Linked DNA regions of Caenorhabditis elegans. The protein of the gene in region 3 interacts with the protein of the main gene of each other region in a biochemical or structural test. Each region holds a gene or a part of one and is shown on either strand. Other genes may lie near its edges. The genes, in order: mps-3, kvs-1 and mps-2.

The links.
Region 1: of the proteins of mps-2 (region 3) and mps-3, one has a biochemical effect on the other in vitro, tested with the Caenorhabditis elegans proteins (one study listed by BioGRID).
Region 2: of the proteins of mps-2 (region 3) and kvs-1, one has a biochemical effect on the other in vitro, tested with the Caenorhabditis elegans proteins (one study listed by BioGRID).

The regions. Positions count from the first base shown.
Region 1 is NC_003279.8:758,830-763,755, reverse strand, and holds mps-3 (MiRP K channel accessory Subunit), read left to right. Parts: upstream 1-1,906; 5' UTR 1,907-1,919; coding exon 1,920-1,962; intron 1,963-2,038; coding exon 2,039-2,136; intron 2,137-2,388; coding exon 2,389-2,712; intron 2,713-2,768; coding exon 2,769-2,807; 3' UTR 2,808-2,908; downstream 2,909-4,926. Other genes in the region: T06A4.3 (ShKT domain-containing protein), read right to left, coding at 1-81; Y18H1A.8 (TransThyretin-Related family domain), read right to left, coding at 3,327-3,438, 3,959-4,059, 4,703-4,808, 4,864-4,926.
Region 2 is NC_003284.9:7,703,535-7,709,670, forward strand, and holds the start of kvs-1 (BTB domain-containing protein), read right to left. Parts: upstream 3,598-6,136; 5' UTR 3,553-3,597; coding exon 3,512-3,552; intron 2,566-3,511; exon of another isoform or gene 2,425-2,565; intron 1-2,424.
Region 3 is NC_003280.10:308,649-315,155, reverse strand, and holds mps-2 (MiRP K channel accessory Subunit), read left to right. Parts: upstream 1-2,998; coding exon 2,999-3,090; intron 3,091-4,257; exon of another isoform or gene 4,258-4,458; coding exon of another isoform or gene 4,459-4,535; exon of another isoform or gene 4,536-4,712; coding exon 4,713-4,831; intron 4,832-4,882; coding exon 4,883-4,994; intron 4,995-5,386; coding exon 5,387-5,468; intron 5,469-5,511; coding exon 5,512-5,601; downstream 5,602-6,507. Other genes in the region: K01A2.4 (uncharacterized protein), read right to left, coding at 5,707-5,808, 5,878-5,956, 6,101-6,215, 6,269-6,387, 6,434-6,507.

The DNA.
Region 1 (4,926 bases), on a different chromosome or scaffold from region 3:
TCGATAAACGGCGAAAGACTGTGTGGATAGAGAGACGGCAGAGAAGCAGAGAAAAATGAGCAAGGAAGTGTTATAAGACATGATGATTACACGTCTCCAAACACACACCGTCACCTTCTACTCCTTCTTCCAAATAGCTGAAGACGATGAAGAATCCTGTTCCGTCTCGATGTCTGGGCGTCCTCTACACCTGTATGCACTCTCTCTCTTCACACACACGAAAAAGGGAAAAGCGCCCTGTAAAAAAAGGGAGAAGGAAGACAGAGAAAGGGACGAAAAAAGTGAGAATGATTGAAATCTATCCTATCTCTCCCCCTTATACCGTCTAATCACTCTGTAGAAGCTTTTGGGCAGACGGGACGAGACGCATACTCAAAAAAACAGGTAGTTTGTGTATCGGCGCAGTGATATGATTGAATAGCTTATTATTAGATTATCGAGATTGTCATAACAAGGAAAGGGCGCTATTGCCTAGCAACACGCCTGCATTCAGTCTTCCTACCTGCCTGCCTACCTGAATCATACCTACATCTGCCTATGTGCCTGCATGCCTGCCTACCTACCTCCCTGCATACCTACTCACGTGCCTTCATCATGCCTGCAACATGCCTACATCTGCCTACGTGCCTGCATCCTGGCTTGCTCTTTCTACGTATCTGCCTGCACATTTACATGCTTGCCTACCCGCCTACCTGTCTTTTTTATGCTTACCAACCTCCGATCCTGCCTGGCTGCCTACCTACCTGCCTACCCACGTGCCTTCATCATGCCTGTAACATACCTACATCTGCCTACGTGCCTGCATCCTGGCTTGCTCTTCCTACGTATCTGCCTGCAGATTTACATGCCTGCTTATGTGTCTTTATTATGCCTGCCAGCTTACGAGCCTGCCTACCTGCCTATCTGCCTACCCACGTTACGTCATCATGCCTACAACATACCTAAATCTGCCTACGTGCCTGAATTATGGCTTGTTCTCCCTACGTATATGCCTGCATATTTACATGTCTACCTACCTGCCTGCCTACCTACCTGCCTGCTTACCTACTCACGTGCCTTCATAATACCCGCAACATACCTACTCTGCGTACACATCTACCAATCTGCCTACCCACGTGACTTCAGCATGCCTGCAACATACCTACATCTGCCTACGTGCCTGCATCCTGGCTAACTCTTCCTACGCGTCTGCCTGCCTGCCTACCTGTCTACCTCCCTACCAGCCTAACTAGTTACCTACCTACCCACGTGCCTTCATCATGACTGCAACATACCTACATCTGCTTACATACCCACATGCCTGCCTACCCCCGTGACTTCTCATGCCTGCAACATCCGCCTACGTGCCTGCATCTTTATTATGCCTGGCAGCCTACTATCCTGCCTACCTACCTGCCTACCTGCCTAACTGCCTACTTGCCTACCTGCCTACCTGCCTACGTTGTCGAACTTTTACATATTTCTAGTCCCCGTAATTTTCTTCTACCTCTCACTATTTTTTCCTGAAAGCGAACATTTTTGTATTCTTTTCAGAAAAAAGTAGTACACAGACGTACATGGCGTACTACAAAATGCAACAATTTGTGATCACAAATTACAAAAAAAAAACATTGGGAGTAGGAACGGAGAAATAAAAGAAGATAGGAGATGATTAATTACTCTTGATTTGATTGTTGGTTACCTGGTTTAACAGGTAAATTATGACGTAACGTGTGTGGCCTAGAAATTCTGCAGTTTTCTAGGCCACGAGGTATGGTGTCAATTTTGCTCCAATTTAATGGAAAAATCACAAATTTTTGGTATTTTCCGTGACCCTCACCCCTTCCCCCTACTCAAAAATATTATAAAAATTAAAAAAAAATCCCACGTCTCTAATCAATTTTCCCAAATTTCTCCATTTTCTCATTCATTTCCTGATAATGTCCACCTCCACTCAGCGACCACCGGCGCCAACTTCTGGCTGTTAGTTTGAAACGCGCTCTACCGCACTGGTAGTGCGGTAGAGCGCGTTTGCATATTTGTACCTCCATTTTTGCAGCATCATCGACGCCATGGACCAAAGTAGTGATATTCATAATTATTGGCATTCTCATTGTAGCCTTCATCGTGTTCGCCGCCGCTTCCATTGTGAAATATGTGAGTTAAAGGCCTAGAAAAATTTGAAATTCTGTTGGTGGCCTAGAAAATGTGTTATTTGCTTTTGTTGGTGGCCTAGCAAAAATCGCGGTCATAGAAAACTGTTGGTGGCCTAGAAAAGTTTTAGGTGGCCTAGGAAAATTTCTATATGGCCTAGAACTGTCTGTGATGGCCTAGAAAATTCCGACATGGCTAAATATATGTCTGGTGGCCTAGAAAATCGCTTGATTGCCTAGAAACTCTAATTTTCAGATAAAAAGCAAGAAGCAACAAAAGCAGCCAAAGAAGAAAACAAAAAAGAGCACAAAATCGCGGAGCAAGAGTTTGAAGAGCAAACAGTCTGCAGTAACCCCAAAAAAAAGAGCATCTCCAATTCCACCTCAGCCAGCTCCGCCATCATCTCCCAAACCAACTGAAGAATCTGCGACACCATCCTCCTCATTTGCTCCGTCAACTGAGCCAACACCGACAGTTCCAGACAAGGTTGATGATGGCTCCGAGGACACGGAGCACAAAGAGCAAGAGCAACAGACTGTTCTGTGCACTTATGGCAATGGATGGAAGTCTAAGAATCAGGTTTTTAAAAAATGCAGATTTGTTTTTTTTTTCAACAACTTTAGAACATTTTTCAGCCTCCCCACGACTTCTCCTTCTCAATCGAATCTGAATAATGCCAACAATGTAAAAGCTCCCCGTGTCACCTGAAAAGTCTCCAAAATCAACCTCATTTCTTTCGTTTCTACTGGTTTTTATTGCAATAAACTTGGGTTGGAATTGCTTTCTCGGGGGGCGGCGCGCGACTTGGTGGCTTATATTTTCGCTAGTTTTCAAGATATTAAAAAAATTTTAACCACAAAATTGTAGAAAAAGCATTGGAGAACAGTTTTTCAGTTGGCCATTTTTTGATAGAGCAAAATGTAACCGAGATATAAGCTCTCGAAGCTAAGAGGTAAATATTGGTCGATGCACCATGTACCGAGGCAGGCGTAGGTTGCCTTGAATGTAGGCTTTGTCACATGCCTATCTTAAACCTGTTGGGCAAAAAGTGGAAGTTAAAAACACTTTTTGCTCATTTTCAGAAAATCTTAATCATGTTTTAATTATATTTTTGTTAATTAGGAAAAATAATATATGTAGGCTACCTTGTAGGCAGGTAGGCAGGTAGGCTCGAATATTGATGAACAATTTTATCAAACATTGAAAATAAATATCTTGGACATCACCATCGCCTTTGTTCCGATTACTTCGTTTGTCCATTCACCGGCATTGTTCAGATCAATGTTGCGTGTTTCATCGTACTGCCTGAAAATATTCATTTTTTTGAAAACAGAAATGCCTGCCCTAGAGCTTGCATATAGGCGCCAAAACGCCTGACAACTGCCTCGGGCCGCGCCTTCTGTACAGTGCGGCGTGGAAACCGTAAAGTGTCGGCTGCGGCAAAAAAAACCGCTTATAGTACTATTTGGTGTGAGTAGGGCTGACATATTGGGCGTCCGGTCGTCCGGTTTTTTGAAATGTTAAAATTTTCCGAGAGGTAGTTTTTTTTACGGCGGCCGACAACTTCCGAGTTTGGCCACTCACTATACTTAATCATATAATTTTATCATGAGTGGCCAAACTCGGAAATTGTCGGCCGCCGTACAAAAAAAACTACCTCTCGGAAAAATTTAAAATTTCAAAAAACCGGACGTCCAATATGCCAGCCCTATGTGTGAGCATCGAGGCTTTGACTTTTTGCCAAAGTGCAGGAATCAGGCGAGAAGCCGGCAAACCGCTCCTGCTTCCCATGGAAGCCCTAGCCTGCCCTGTAGAAAGTACCTACCCATCCTTGATATAATAAGATCCCAAGTCAACTGTCAACAACTTGTATTTCCCATTATCCGTGCAATCGTGGACGATGATCATGTATAACTCGAAATAGGACTGCAAAGCTATATATTTAAATTTTTAAATTTTTACAAGTTAGAGTTTTTATTTAAGAGGTTATTCGATTTTCCAAAATGGTCAGTCAAGGTTTTGGTAAACTGCCAAACTCCTAGAATGTTCACTTTTTGGCGGGAATTTCAAATTTTCTGAGAAAAAATTTTGGTGGGAAATTCAGATTTTATGAGAAAACAATTTTTTGGCGGGAAATTCAAATTTTCTGAGAAAAATTTTTTAGCGGGAATTTCAAATTTTCTGAGAAAAAATTTTGGTGGGAAATTCAGATTTTATGAGAAAACAATTTTTTGGCGGCAAATTCAAATTCTCTGAGAAAAAGTTTTGGCGGGGATTTTTAATTTTCTGAGAAAAATTTTTTAGCGGGAATTTCAAATTTTCTGAGAAACATTTTTTAGCGGGAATTTCAAAATTCTGAGAAAAAGTTTTTGGCGGGAATTTCAAGTTTTCTGAGAAAAAATTTTGGTGGGAAATTCAAATTTTCTGAGAAAAAATTTTGGTGGGAAATTCAAATCTTCTGATAAAAAATTTTGGTGGGAAATTCAAATTTTCTGATAAAAAATTTTGGCGGGAAATTCAAATTTTCTGAGAAATACTAGAGAAAAAGCGGGAAATTAAAAAGTAATACATCCAAAAACTTTGGCAATCCGTCATTGGTATCTTCAGCCTCAACGAGATACATATGTGGTGCATTTGTATGGAACACGTAATGGTGTTTACTGATAACGTTGTCGCTGAAACAATTTATAATATTAAATACAACATTTCTCATTTTTCATTTCTACTCACAACACCTCATCGTCTTCATAAACTACAACATGGGATCTCAGGAATTTATGTTTGCACTTAAAC
Region 2 (6,136 bases), on a different chromosome or scaffold from region 3:
GAATTTTCCCCCTTCAAAAAAAGTGCATCGGAATGGTGATGTAGTGGTGGATAGACAGAAAACTTAAAAATACAAAATAAATAAGGATGTGGTTAGGTAGTAGGTACTTGCTTTTTTCGAGAAAGCGCAAGAAATCAAAGGTGCGCGGCCACCAAAAAGGTGCACAAATTCTATTACACTTGGCGGGTGTTGGCGGTGCTGTCAAATCAAATACTTCTGATTTTCGAGTAAAAATAGAAATAGAAAAAGAAATCTAGCAATCGTAGAAACATGGCTGATGTTTTACTAGAAAAATTGAAATTTGAAGTCAAAGGATGCAACAAAAATGTGGACAGAAATGGAAGACGAAGAAAGCAATTCGGCAATACTGAAGAACCCTCAGAATCTCTGACACCATTTCGTTTATGGGAAAAATTGTGTGTTCCGAACATGAGGAAAAACACACAAAAACAAGAAAAAAGGAAGCGCTCACGGATTTATGAAAACATTTAAGAAACATTTTTTGAGCAATTGTCCTGTAAAAGTAATGCATATTTATGCAATAAACACTTGAATGACCTTTGATTTGTTAGAACGTTTAACTCGGATTTTCAGTGCACAAGAAAATTCTCAGTTAATTTATCTTGCTTCCCGCTTGGTGCTGTGATTTAGTTATTCTCATTTTTAGAGGTTACCTTACTATTATCAAATAAAACACAAATTCTCAAATTCTGTGTGTAAAAATTCTCGCAAAGACTTGAAAGCTGTAAAAAAGCTTATTCAGAATAAATTTCTTTCGCTTTTTCATTTCTGTCAAGAGGGTCATCGAACAAGGTTGATCGACAAAAGTAAATTAAAATTCGAATGATCATTGACACATGGTCAGGCTGACGTAGTCAAACTGTCAAGATTTGTGGCACATTCAAAAGTTAAGGATCTCTAAACTCAGATCAGCTATATTCGAAAATGAAATAGTGCGATAAAAAGTGATTTAACAGGCTATGCTTGACATATTTATCAAAACGTAAAAAAATTTTCCAATCTGCTCCAGATATAGACTCTTATATGGGCAACTAGAAAATTAAATTGAAAATCAAAAATGCGAGCAAAAGTTTTGATCAAACTACATTAAATTTTTTATGAAATATTTTGATCACGTTTTTGCACATTTTAACATAAAACTCACTTCTGGTCCACCAACATTATTGAAAAATAGTGATACTCTTCTGATAATATTCTTGAACATCATTCAAAAGAAGTGAGCAGCCTAACTCTGACGTAGGCCGAAACACCATGTCGTTGTTTCTTGCGAAGTATCAAAATATCATATTACCACGTGGAAACAACTATTATCGCAAAAAGTTGCCTAGAGATCAATCGACTAGTTTTTTAACTTTAGATGATGTGTTTAGTATGATGTTTCAATTTTTTAAAATACCAAGCCAAGCCAAGTATTATTAATAAACAATTCCAAAATTTTTTAAAACTTTTCCAAATTTCCTGTCAAAATTTTTACAATTAGCAAATTTTCAGAAAATGTGGCACCTTGAGAATTCTTATTCATTGTCGTAAGTTCTAACATCTACAATGTTCAAATATAGCCAATTAAAATGCATTAAAACTATAAAACATGCAAAAAAAATTTTTTTTTGGTCGACTTTGAAAATTATGATGGTTGAAAATTAGATTTTCACCATTTTTGCGTGTACATATATAACTTCAAAATTTTTTGAAAATGTTTACTACAGTTTTTGACAGTTTTAAAACATTTTCTCACTGCCGATACTCTTTTTATTCTGTTGAAATCTGGGAAAATTAATAAATAAAGTTGAAAATTACTTTTTCTCTCTGATTTACCCAAACAAATTTTTAAAAAACTACTGTCTTTGCTTCTTCCAAGAGTCTTTCCCAATGAACCAATTTTTTTCTCAACCATTTTTTTCGATTTCCACTCAAATTTTAATAAAAAATCCAATATTGATCCTCATTTCATTTGTTTTCTAAAAAAGAAAAGTGCAGCTAATTGACATATTCCAACTCTACAGGAAACCAATATGTGCATCCGAAAGTCGTTGGGGGAGACTTATACAAAAGACCAGAAAACCTTTAAATAAAAGCATTGCTCAAATTCCTTCCTCATTCCAAAAATAAATTTCATAGTTCTAAATTAAAAATTCGAAAACGATTTGGTTCGGATCTTCGACTTTTTGCAAGCTGAACAAAAAGATAAGAAAAAAGGAAATAGCTTTAGAGGCGAGAGGAACATGGACTAAAAAGTCTTGATCAGGAATTCATGGTGAACTCCTTTTCACATCACAGAATCTTCGTTTTTTTTTCGAATACCAAAGCTGGTTTTTTCCTTTTTTTTTCTTTTTTTTTTAACGATAGTTTTTCAAAAACCAAAAAACCATTTCACAGAGAAACACACAAAAAAAACGTACCGCAAGCTTTTACATCGCCTCATCATTTTCAGCGTCTTTAGTTATTTCAGAATGTGAGACAGATTCGGAAACGAAAGAAAAAGTGGCAGAGATCTAATTGATGAATTGAACCCCCATCTGCGGCTATGTTCTCTTTTTGTTCAACTTTTTCCTGTGTCCGACCGCAACCGGAGTAAGGGGTATGGTGAATGTGGATAAAACGATGAGAGAAGTAGAGGCTTCGTAGTTGAAATTTTTAAAGTTTGTGGTTGTGATAGTTTTTGTTGACAAGAATGAATTAGGTATGGTTCGTATCTTTAGTCTCTGATTTTAAGTTTTGTTTTTGGTAAATGCTCACAAAGCAAGTAATTGTGTAGATTGAAAGTGACGTAAAACCTGTAGGGAATGAGTTCGGAAGCTGGCTCATTAGTTGAGTAAAACGGAATAAATGTAGTTATATTCTCAGAAACTATAGTTTTAGTTTTGTGAATATAAGCTTCAGGAAAAATTAAGTTTTTTAACTGCTTCAGATTCAGAGAGTTTTGGTTATTATTATGAGATTTTAGAGACGTACATAGTAGGCTAATTTTTTCATTGGACTTTTTTTTAAATTAACCGTATTCAAACACTTTTAGGGACAGCGCTGGAAATAACTTAAGTAATCCACATTTTTGTAAATTTGGCAATTCACCCAAGCTCACAAAAATTTGAGTGAATTCTGAACATTATTCGACTGTTTAGTTGCAACTTTTGGTCATTTAGTTTTTAAGAATTTCCCATTCTAACATAGAAAAGGGTTAATGCCATAGTGCTTAAGATATCTTTAAAAGTGGCATAAAGTTTTCACTATTTTCAAATCGAAATAAAAATTCAAAAAATTTTTATTATGTTTTATTATGATATTTAGTAATTTAAGAACCACATGAAAAATTTGAGTCATTTCCCCTGTGGCCGTACTCTGCGTTCATTCTTTAGAACAATTTTGAAACATTGAAAAACTTGAAAAAAAAATTCTAAATTTCAGACCTGAGAAAATTTTTTATATCAATCAAACCAGTCAAAACGACATCAAATCTCCATTAAATAAACAAAAACAAAAACTCAACACTTACCCTTTATTTAAATCGAGATACATCAGCCTTTCCGTGCTCATGTTGCACAGATTCCACAAAAAGGTGAGACGACGAATGATCTGAAAAAAGGAAAACAAGATGTGAAAAACAAGAATTTTGATTGAGTTTGAAAAATTGATGATACTTGAACTTCAATCAACTCTTCCTGTTTTCCTGTAAAATCTTGAAAACGAACAAGCCACTTTTTCTAAAGAACAAGGCACTTGAAGAAGCGGTATGGAACAAATGTGGGAGGAGAACAAAAAATGTGGGCGGGGCTTAAAAGTCCAGCAGGCAAAACGAAAGTTTCAAAAATCTCAGAGGTCATCGCTTATTTTAGCTGTTTTCATTTCACTTTGGCGTCTTTCAACACTTGCGGAAACCTCAGAACGTGTGGGACTCATCACAATAAATTACTTTTTGAAGTCCGAAGATTGGAGGATAGACGATGAAATGAATCAAATTCTGCTGTAAGATATCGCAGATTTGATCGTAAAACCGTTGAACTTGGCTGTGTTCACCAGGCTCCCGTCATGTGGGAATTCCTGACAGCACTTTCGAATTGAATGAAATTTGAACACAAGAAAAAACATTTCCATCTGCAAACTTGGAATGAATTAAATGGAACAGCTGCTACCCGGGAAAAAAACTCCAAACTATCGTAACTAAAAATTATGTTTAGCAAAAAACTGCAGTGAACCAACTCATATGAACCAGTCAAAGTCATAAATATATCAAAAAGTTCCCAGAGCAAATGATTTTTGAAATAGAAAATTATGGCGGGAAGGGGGAGTTTTAATAGCATTTTTCAACACTTAAAAAATGAACAGTATAACAAAGAAATTATAATTTTTTTAATGTGGCTGTTGTTTTGGGAATATATTAAAAAAAGACGAAAACATTTCAAAATTTTTCGAGTGAATTCGAAATTAAATTAAAAATTAAAAAATTTAGTTTGAAAATGACTCAAAACATATGAACGGATATCCAAATTCCAGTGAAGGCCGTCATAGATAATCTTGCACAATTTTTCGAAATCGTTTCACAAATATAAACGTTCATCGTGTTATCAACAGATTAGCCGCTGAAAAGAAAAGCGGATGAGTGTCCGATTTCTGAGACCTCAGAAAAATTGCATACAGGAAAGTATCCAAGTATGCGGGCAGACATATGTTTTTTGAAAAAAATAGCTCAGTGGAAGAACTGGAAAAAACTGAATTGGCTGTCTAAGAAGTAAGTATTTTCAAAAATACATGTAACGACTTTTTCAACGTGGTTGTTGTGAATTATGCAGCATCAAGTTTGAATAGGTGCAGAAAACATTAACGAAGCAACGATAATAAAACATTAAGACTAGAAAAAACTAAAAATTCGGTTTTTGAAAACGGTAAATTTAATTTTACAGAAACGAAACACATCTTCATTAGAAACAAAATGGATCGGTGGTAAACACACATCAAATTAATTTTTTATGTTTCATTTTATTTTCACTATTAGTATTGAAACACATTCTCGATTCTTCTTTTTTGAGCAGTTTGTTTCACATTTTAGGTAGTTTTTTTGATTTCATATTCAATATTTTATACCTATTTTGTGAAATAACGTATAAATATTGGACAGTTCTCAGAGAAGGGGTTGGACAACTTATCACATTTACTTATACTAATTTCAAAAAAGTTAAATTCAGAAGAGAAGAAACATCAAAGATAAATTCAGAAGAGAAGAAACGAAAAAAACCTAGTTGAAGAAAATACATGAAGTTTCCGATTGTGTTACTTTTTTCTGTTAAGAAAACAGGTTTTTCATGGTTATTAGAAAACTTACATTTCGTTAAAGTTCAGTTTCTAAACAGTTCTCTAAAGTTCTGGAATTTTCTACAGTTCGTAGATTATATGTTAAGGTAGCTTATTATTATTCCTTTATTTCAATTGCTTTGATCAAAAGGAAAGATAGTCAGAAGGGTGGTTCTTACAACAAAAAACAATTAAAACCGTTCATATGCGTTCTAATATGTCAAAAGTACAATGTTTTGATATTTCGGTACTTGTGTAGATTTTTACAATATTCACAAGTTTTGAGCTACGCGGAAGTTCAGGAAGATATACCTTTTTTCTTTATTGCACCTTGACTGAAAACGGAAATTATTATTTTCTAACGAGATTTTATTAACGTTTATACGGCAGTGGGGAAATAGCTAAAAAACTACTCCTATGGTGCTAATATAAACAAATATCAGTAAAATGTTTCAAAGAATTTTAAACAATTTTTGTTAAAAAAAAGGCTTTTCAATTTTTATTGACAGTCAAAAGTGACATGAGTTTTCGTCACATTTTGAGAAAACTATAGCACTGTCGCATATCCGAATTTCTTTATTGTTTTAGTATTATTATTTAAAACATAAGACATACAATTTGAAAGAAACCTTTTTTTGATAGAAGGCTTTGAAAAAGGTGGCAAAAAGTGAGTAATTGCCATTTTTTGACTATCAATAAAAATTTTCAAAAACTTGTCTGAAAAGTTTTACAATGATATTTATTTTGGCACCATAGGAGTGGTTTTTTTAACCTTCCCAATGAAAATTTCACATCGACTTACAATTTTTAGTTAAATAGTAGACTTGATTGT
Region 3 (6,507 bases):
GACATGAATTAAAAACGAGATACCGTGTCCAATGAGGAGTTTCTTTTTTTGCTGCAATATTTTTCAAAATCCAATAAAAATTATAACTTTGACCCACTCTTTCACATCGGGAGGAAGGTTATACTGCATTTTTGCGTGCTCTTTTTCCCCGTTCGAGGCCTGAACTGTCTCTGAGGCACAATGGCCGTTCAACGTATGACGTCCGAGTGAGAAACTTTGCAAGGCTGCGCCAAAGTCCTTGATTAATTTTGGGTCCCGAATGTATTGCAAAACAGAGGCAATGTTCTGCGGGATATGTTCACTGAAAATAACTTTTTTTAAAAATCATCTTAAACGCCTTTTTGTGTTTTTTTTTCAAACACGTATGGATTTCTTTGACTTTTTTGGTATGAAAATTGTTGTTTTGGGGACAGAGCGTCGGCGTGAGTCTCGCACTTAAAATCTTTTTTTTAATTGACTCACTCTTTGTGATCTGTTGGTGTCTGTTTTGGGTCGGTTGCACTGAAAATAGTTACATTAATTATTCGATTTGTTCAACTTTTCGAATTTTCGAATAAACCGTCAAATATGATTTTTAAAAAAGAACTCACTATCAGCATTATTTTGTACTTCATGAGTAGTATGTATTTGTCCGCTCCGGTGCAGCTTTCAACCCACTTTTTGGGTCTCATGTGTCGGAGTACAGCTGATTCCTTCACATTATCTTCACATTTTTCTGACATGGACAATATTTTCATCCAGTTAGATAACATTTTCCAGGCAAGAACATTTCCATATTTCTTGAAAATAATCAGTATTGTTCCAATTCGACTCCGAAAATGATTCAGAATTTCATCGTTGGAACATATTTGGTGACTTTTGTTTAGAATGTTCTCAATATTCTTGATTGTTTTCGAGATTATTTGATAATCCGGAAAACTCGTTTGATCGGTTCGAATGTCCAAGTCGAAGACTTCGAACTCGTATTTTTCAATTTTTTCAGTGCAATTCTGACTTCTTTGTGCAAGTTGATCTACTATCGTGTTTTCCATCTTGACTTTTGAAAAAAAAAATTAAATTGACAAGCTGCAGACTTTTCAATTAATGACAGAAGATGTGTTTTGCAAAGGTGTTTGAAGAAATTTGCTGAATTGTCCGATTTGATGCTGATGAGAATCAGACTTTTTGACGTAGCTCTCTCTTTTCTGATGGTTTGAAAAAAAAACTAACGAAACAAAGATTCCAATTGGTTGTTGGTGTTGTAGCGGTAGATGTAGTGGAATGATGATAAAATTAGCTCTTTGATTCAGTACTTGTTGAGGTTAGAATAGGGTGAGTTCCCATGTCCCTTTCTTTTTCCCTCGGTTAGTTGTCTTCGTTGTCTCTTTTTCCGTCTTGTCCTCGGGGTCATTATTCATTTTGCCAATGGAGGTATCTCTTTTTTTCGTGCACTCTCTCATTGAGAGTAGTACTCCACAATAAACAATCGGAGCGAAAGTGTAGATAACAGCAACGTCTCGGACCAATTGTGTAAACCAGATTGGTTTTTGCAATTTTGCAACTCGATTGTATAAACGTGACGGAACAACTTTTCTTTCATCGATGAGTTTAATCATCTTTACACTGATGAAGACCTTGCGAGATAAGAATAAATTTTTGTGGAGTATCAACTCTCGTTTTTTCCTTATCTCATTTCTTCGGGAATTCCAGAAACAAATCATTTTGTTGTTCCTTTTCGCTGTCTCTGCTATTAAGAAACTGACTATGTCTCAAATAGGGGAAACTTCGAAGCAGCTTTTCCATTTGGCGTTTCAAAAAAAATTTGTGGAATCTTTTCTGAATGGGAAAACACGGAAATAATTCAATGCGCGGCTTACATACTTGACGACTTAAAAAAAAACCTGGAGACAAATGTGTTGTGTCAAGTCTTGCCATTCGTCGGACTAAGATGCAGTGAATCTTTTGAGTCTACGACGGGAATTTTACTGATCAAACTGGAATCAATGAAGATGAATTGTGGAGGTAGAAGAGTGAATTGTATTCCCACTGTTAATTAGAGCATTTTTTCCAATTACTCCCTATATTAATTAACGGGTAAACAAGGAACGAATGTGATGCATATTATCACGTCTGACAATAAGCATGCTATTTGAGATTCACTGGACTAGAAACTCAAAAGTTGTTGTGAGGTTTGAATCAACAATTCTCAAAAAGAGTCTACTCTGACTAGCTCTTTTCTTGAAATGGACCAAATTCAAACTCTCGTTCCATAGTTTTGAAAACAATACACAACTGAATCAGCTTTTGTTTTTTTCTGGAGAGCGTAGATTTTTCATGGGCTTTTGAAAAAAAAAATTATTTTATCGTCCTTTGGATGAGTTTCTTTGAAGAGAGAGAGTGTGTGTGTTTTTTTTGTATTTTTTCTTGGGTTTTTAGAGATTAAAGGAAATAGAGAGAAATTAATTTTACTTGATTTTTAGAAAAATTTAGTGAAATTGAAAAGAAAAAAATGGTAAGACTCAAAAGACTAGAACATCGAACCAAACTCTGTCTGCCTTGATGGAATAGAGCACAGACACCACTAAACTAGTTTAGAATGGAAGGATCTCACCGAAAACTTTTCAGATGAAATAAAAGTTTTTAGGTGGAATTTTTTTCTTTTGACTTTGAAGAGAGAAAATCATATGAAGATGAAATCTCAGTCAAAAGCTCGGTGGTACCTACATGTTACCGTACGCGATCGTGCCAGATCTCGTAGATAAAATAATAGAAAACATATGAATATATCGATATGTTTATTGAGATGAGGGGGAGAAGGACGGGTGTCCGTCTCCCAGCCTCCCGATAGAATGATGTTAATTCTCATGGAATAGAATGTCTCTATTCTCTCGTGCTCTCTCACCCCACCAACTGTCGTTGACAGATGGCAATGATCAAGGGCACTCGATAAATAGAAACCGAGAAGCAGTATAGAACTGACCTCTCACACTACTATGCGGCTGCCCCGCTCCCGACCTTTATGATAACCCCACTTCCTATATTATTCTTTTTATGTATTGCATATATTCTATTATATATATATAAACATCCTATAACCCCAAGGAATTCCAGGTCGGTATATTTAACCTCAACGAGGTACTTTAGGCTAGGAATAAGAACCACTCTCAACCCTAGCGAGAGTTAGATAAAGGTTGATTATAATATTAGGTGCCGAGAGCACGCCTATAACATGAAGGTACCACCGAGCCAGGAAATAATTTTTTGGGGTGCCCCTGTATGTAAGATCGCAGGTTCCAAAATTGTTTCTGCGAACTCAGAGGAGTCAGGAGTTCACCTAACTATTCCCTAGTAAGTGTGCCATAACCGCTACACCAAGGCCACACCAATATCTATTTGGATTCCCCCATTCCTATCACCATCAAACCCCTTCCCATCTATTATTCTATTCTCGTCTGGTTGGAAGAGCATGGAGACAGTTTCCAGTACACATCACGCCTCTGCAAAACGGACAAAGCAGATTCTCTTCAAACGGTCAAGGAATTCCCGACGTTGGACCAACTCCCCCTGATGCGGCTTGAGTTTTTTTTCTTTTGATTATTAGTTGTTCTTTATTGATTCAATCTCTATTCTAGCCTGAGGGCATCATGAGCCAAGTTTGAGCCATTTTATTGTGTTGAGTAAGCAAAGTTCCCCGCACATTTTTTTTTGAGTATTGAGAATACACTAGTTTGAAGAGTTCCCCATTTTCTTTGTATTGTATGTAGATAAGTTACTGTTGAGTAAAATGACCTCTAATTATATTGTTAAGTCCGTTTTCTTAGAATTTCACATTTTGAAATAAGTATTTGTGTCTGCCTGAGGCAATAGAAATTAAAGAGACTCTGTTGTATTGCATTTTAATGAGATGAGAGTAGGATTTTATTTGGTATAGTTTTTTCATATGTTGTTTATCCTTCTTGAAAGGGCTTTAAACTCTTGCACTAAAACACTAGCGCTTTGAGGACAAAGCACTTTTGAGAGGGTAGGATGGCGTGCCGTTACCGTCATCTGTTATTTTTCTTTTTGGGAATCTGAGTTCTGTAAGCCTAACATCAAAAGCTTCGGGACGAAGCTGCTCAAAAAGGGCGGCATGTGAGAGGTCAGTTCTATACTGCTTCTCGGTTTCTATTTATCGAGTGCCCTTGATCATTGCCATCTGTCAACGACAGTTGGTGGGGTGAGAGAGCACGAGAGAATAGAGACATTCTATTCCATGAGAATTAACATCATTCTATCGGGAGGCTGGGAGACGGACACCCGTCCTTCTCCCCCTCATCTCAATAAACATATCGATATATTCATATGTTTTCTATTATTTTATCTACGAGATCTGGCACGATCGCGTACGGTAACAGTAGGGCGACTCCCACCAGACTAACTTGTGTGCGCCTGCACTTAGGGGCGGGCCGCCATGGAAGTAAATGAAGAAGGAAGATAGGCATGCCTGATAGGAGGCTTGCCATCGTATCCTTCCACAGTTTATTTATTTACTCTTCCTTTGATAAAATGTCTGAAACGTAAGTTGAACTCATTGTTTTCCCAAAAAATTCGAAATTTGAGAAAAAAATGCTTGAAAATCCAGATTCTGTGGAAAAATTTCCAGTATTGGATCCTCTGTAAGTGATTTTGTAATTTCAGAAAAAAAAATTTATTAAACATTTTTTGAGAAAACGTTTTTCAGAAGTTTTTTTCAGAAAAAAGAATGTACTCCTGTCCCTGCACTCTCTTTCATCTTTAATCCACGTGGCAATGTTCTATTTCCTATTGGTCCAATGGAGTAAAGCCGATAATCCAGTTCTCACACATTTTCAGAGTAGGAATCCAAAAATTGAAGTTGTTAAGGTTTTTGAAAATTAATTTTCAGTTTTCTGCCTGGTGATTATTGGAATCGGATTTTTGATTATCTTGATCTTAATATTCAGTATTTTTAAATCCGAAATGAAAAGTGACTCACATGCAAGACGATTCTTTCATATGTAAGTTTATGTCTTAAAAATTGAGATTTTAAATTTAATGCTGCTCAAACCAGCTCAAATTCTAATTTTTCCAAAACATTCTTGCGGGGGTACGAAATTTTAATACCAATTTTGATATTGTCGGTACAGACTTTTTAAAATTAAGACAATTGTTTTGGCTGAAATTTTGGTTTTTAAATTTTAAAAGTGGAGTAACGCCGGGGGGGCAGTGTTAAAACTACTTCAATGGTGCCAAAATGACCGAATTTCAAAAAAAAACCTTTCCAAAAAAACGTTTTGAAAATTTTTGAAGTGTTTTATTATGATATTCGGTTATTTTGGCTCATCATAAGTGTATTTAGACAAAATCCTCACTGGTGCTACCCCAAATAAAACTTTTCACCATTTTCCAGTTGGCCACTGGTACATATCGCCTTATCCACCGCCTATCAGCTCTTCACGCAAATTGTGATATCTCATTGGAAAACTTACCAGGTTTGTCAACCTATATAATTAAATTCGTCAGAAAATTTTTCAGATCCCAATCCTCTACTCATCCTATGCAACTACCGTCTCTGTTTGCATTCATTTAGTTCTGCACTCCATGGCGGTTTTTTGGAAAGTATAATTTTTCATAAAATTTATTCAAATGTTATGTTGTTATGCCATTGGCAATATTCGACTTCAATACTAAAAAATCTTTGAAAATTATTATTTTTCTCATCAGTTGAAATTATTTTTTCAATGGTGACTTCCAAAAAAGCGCAAAAGTATGAAGAATCATATGAGTTGCAACTGATATAGAGGCCGCAATTGAGGACGCCAGATTTGGTACCTGAAACGTAGAATTGAAATTGGGAATTGAGTATTGAATCTGCTAAATTCTGAGAAAGAACTTTCATACTTTTATTGACAATTGAGATGCCAAAAGTTGAACAACAAATTGATAGATTGTTGCACACGCGATGTTGAACAGGGGGAGTCTGAAAATACCTTTAAAGCTTGATTGAGATTGATTTTAGCCGTAAGCTTTTTCTCTGGTTTAGGTTCAGGCCTAGGCTTACGCTTTGGCTTAGGCTTAGGCTTATGCCTAGGGGTACATTCTAGCTTGGCCTTTTTTCACTTACGAAATGAAAAACTCCGTCTCTGCCTTTTCGTTTTTATATTTTCCGTGCAACATCCAGACGAAGCCGCCGAACGCGAGAAGTAATAAACACAAGACGAAAACCATCAGAATAATCGCTGAAATTAGGTTTGATTTTCTAAATTTCGAGTCAAAATGTTCTGAAACTCACCTCCAACTACAGTAATTTTTGGATCGATTGCATTGTACCATTCAAGAAACAAGGTATAGGTCATAATGACATGAATTAAAAACGAGATACCGTGTCCAATGAGGAGTTTCTTTTTTTTGCTGCAATATTTTTCAAAATCCAATAAAAATTATAACTTTGACCCACTCTTTCACATCGGGAGGAAGGTTATACTGCATTTTTGCGTGCTCTTTTTCCCCGTTCGAGGCCTGAACTGTCTC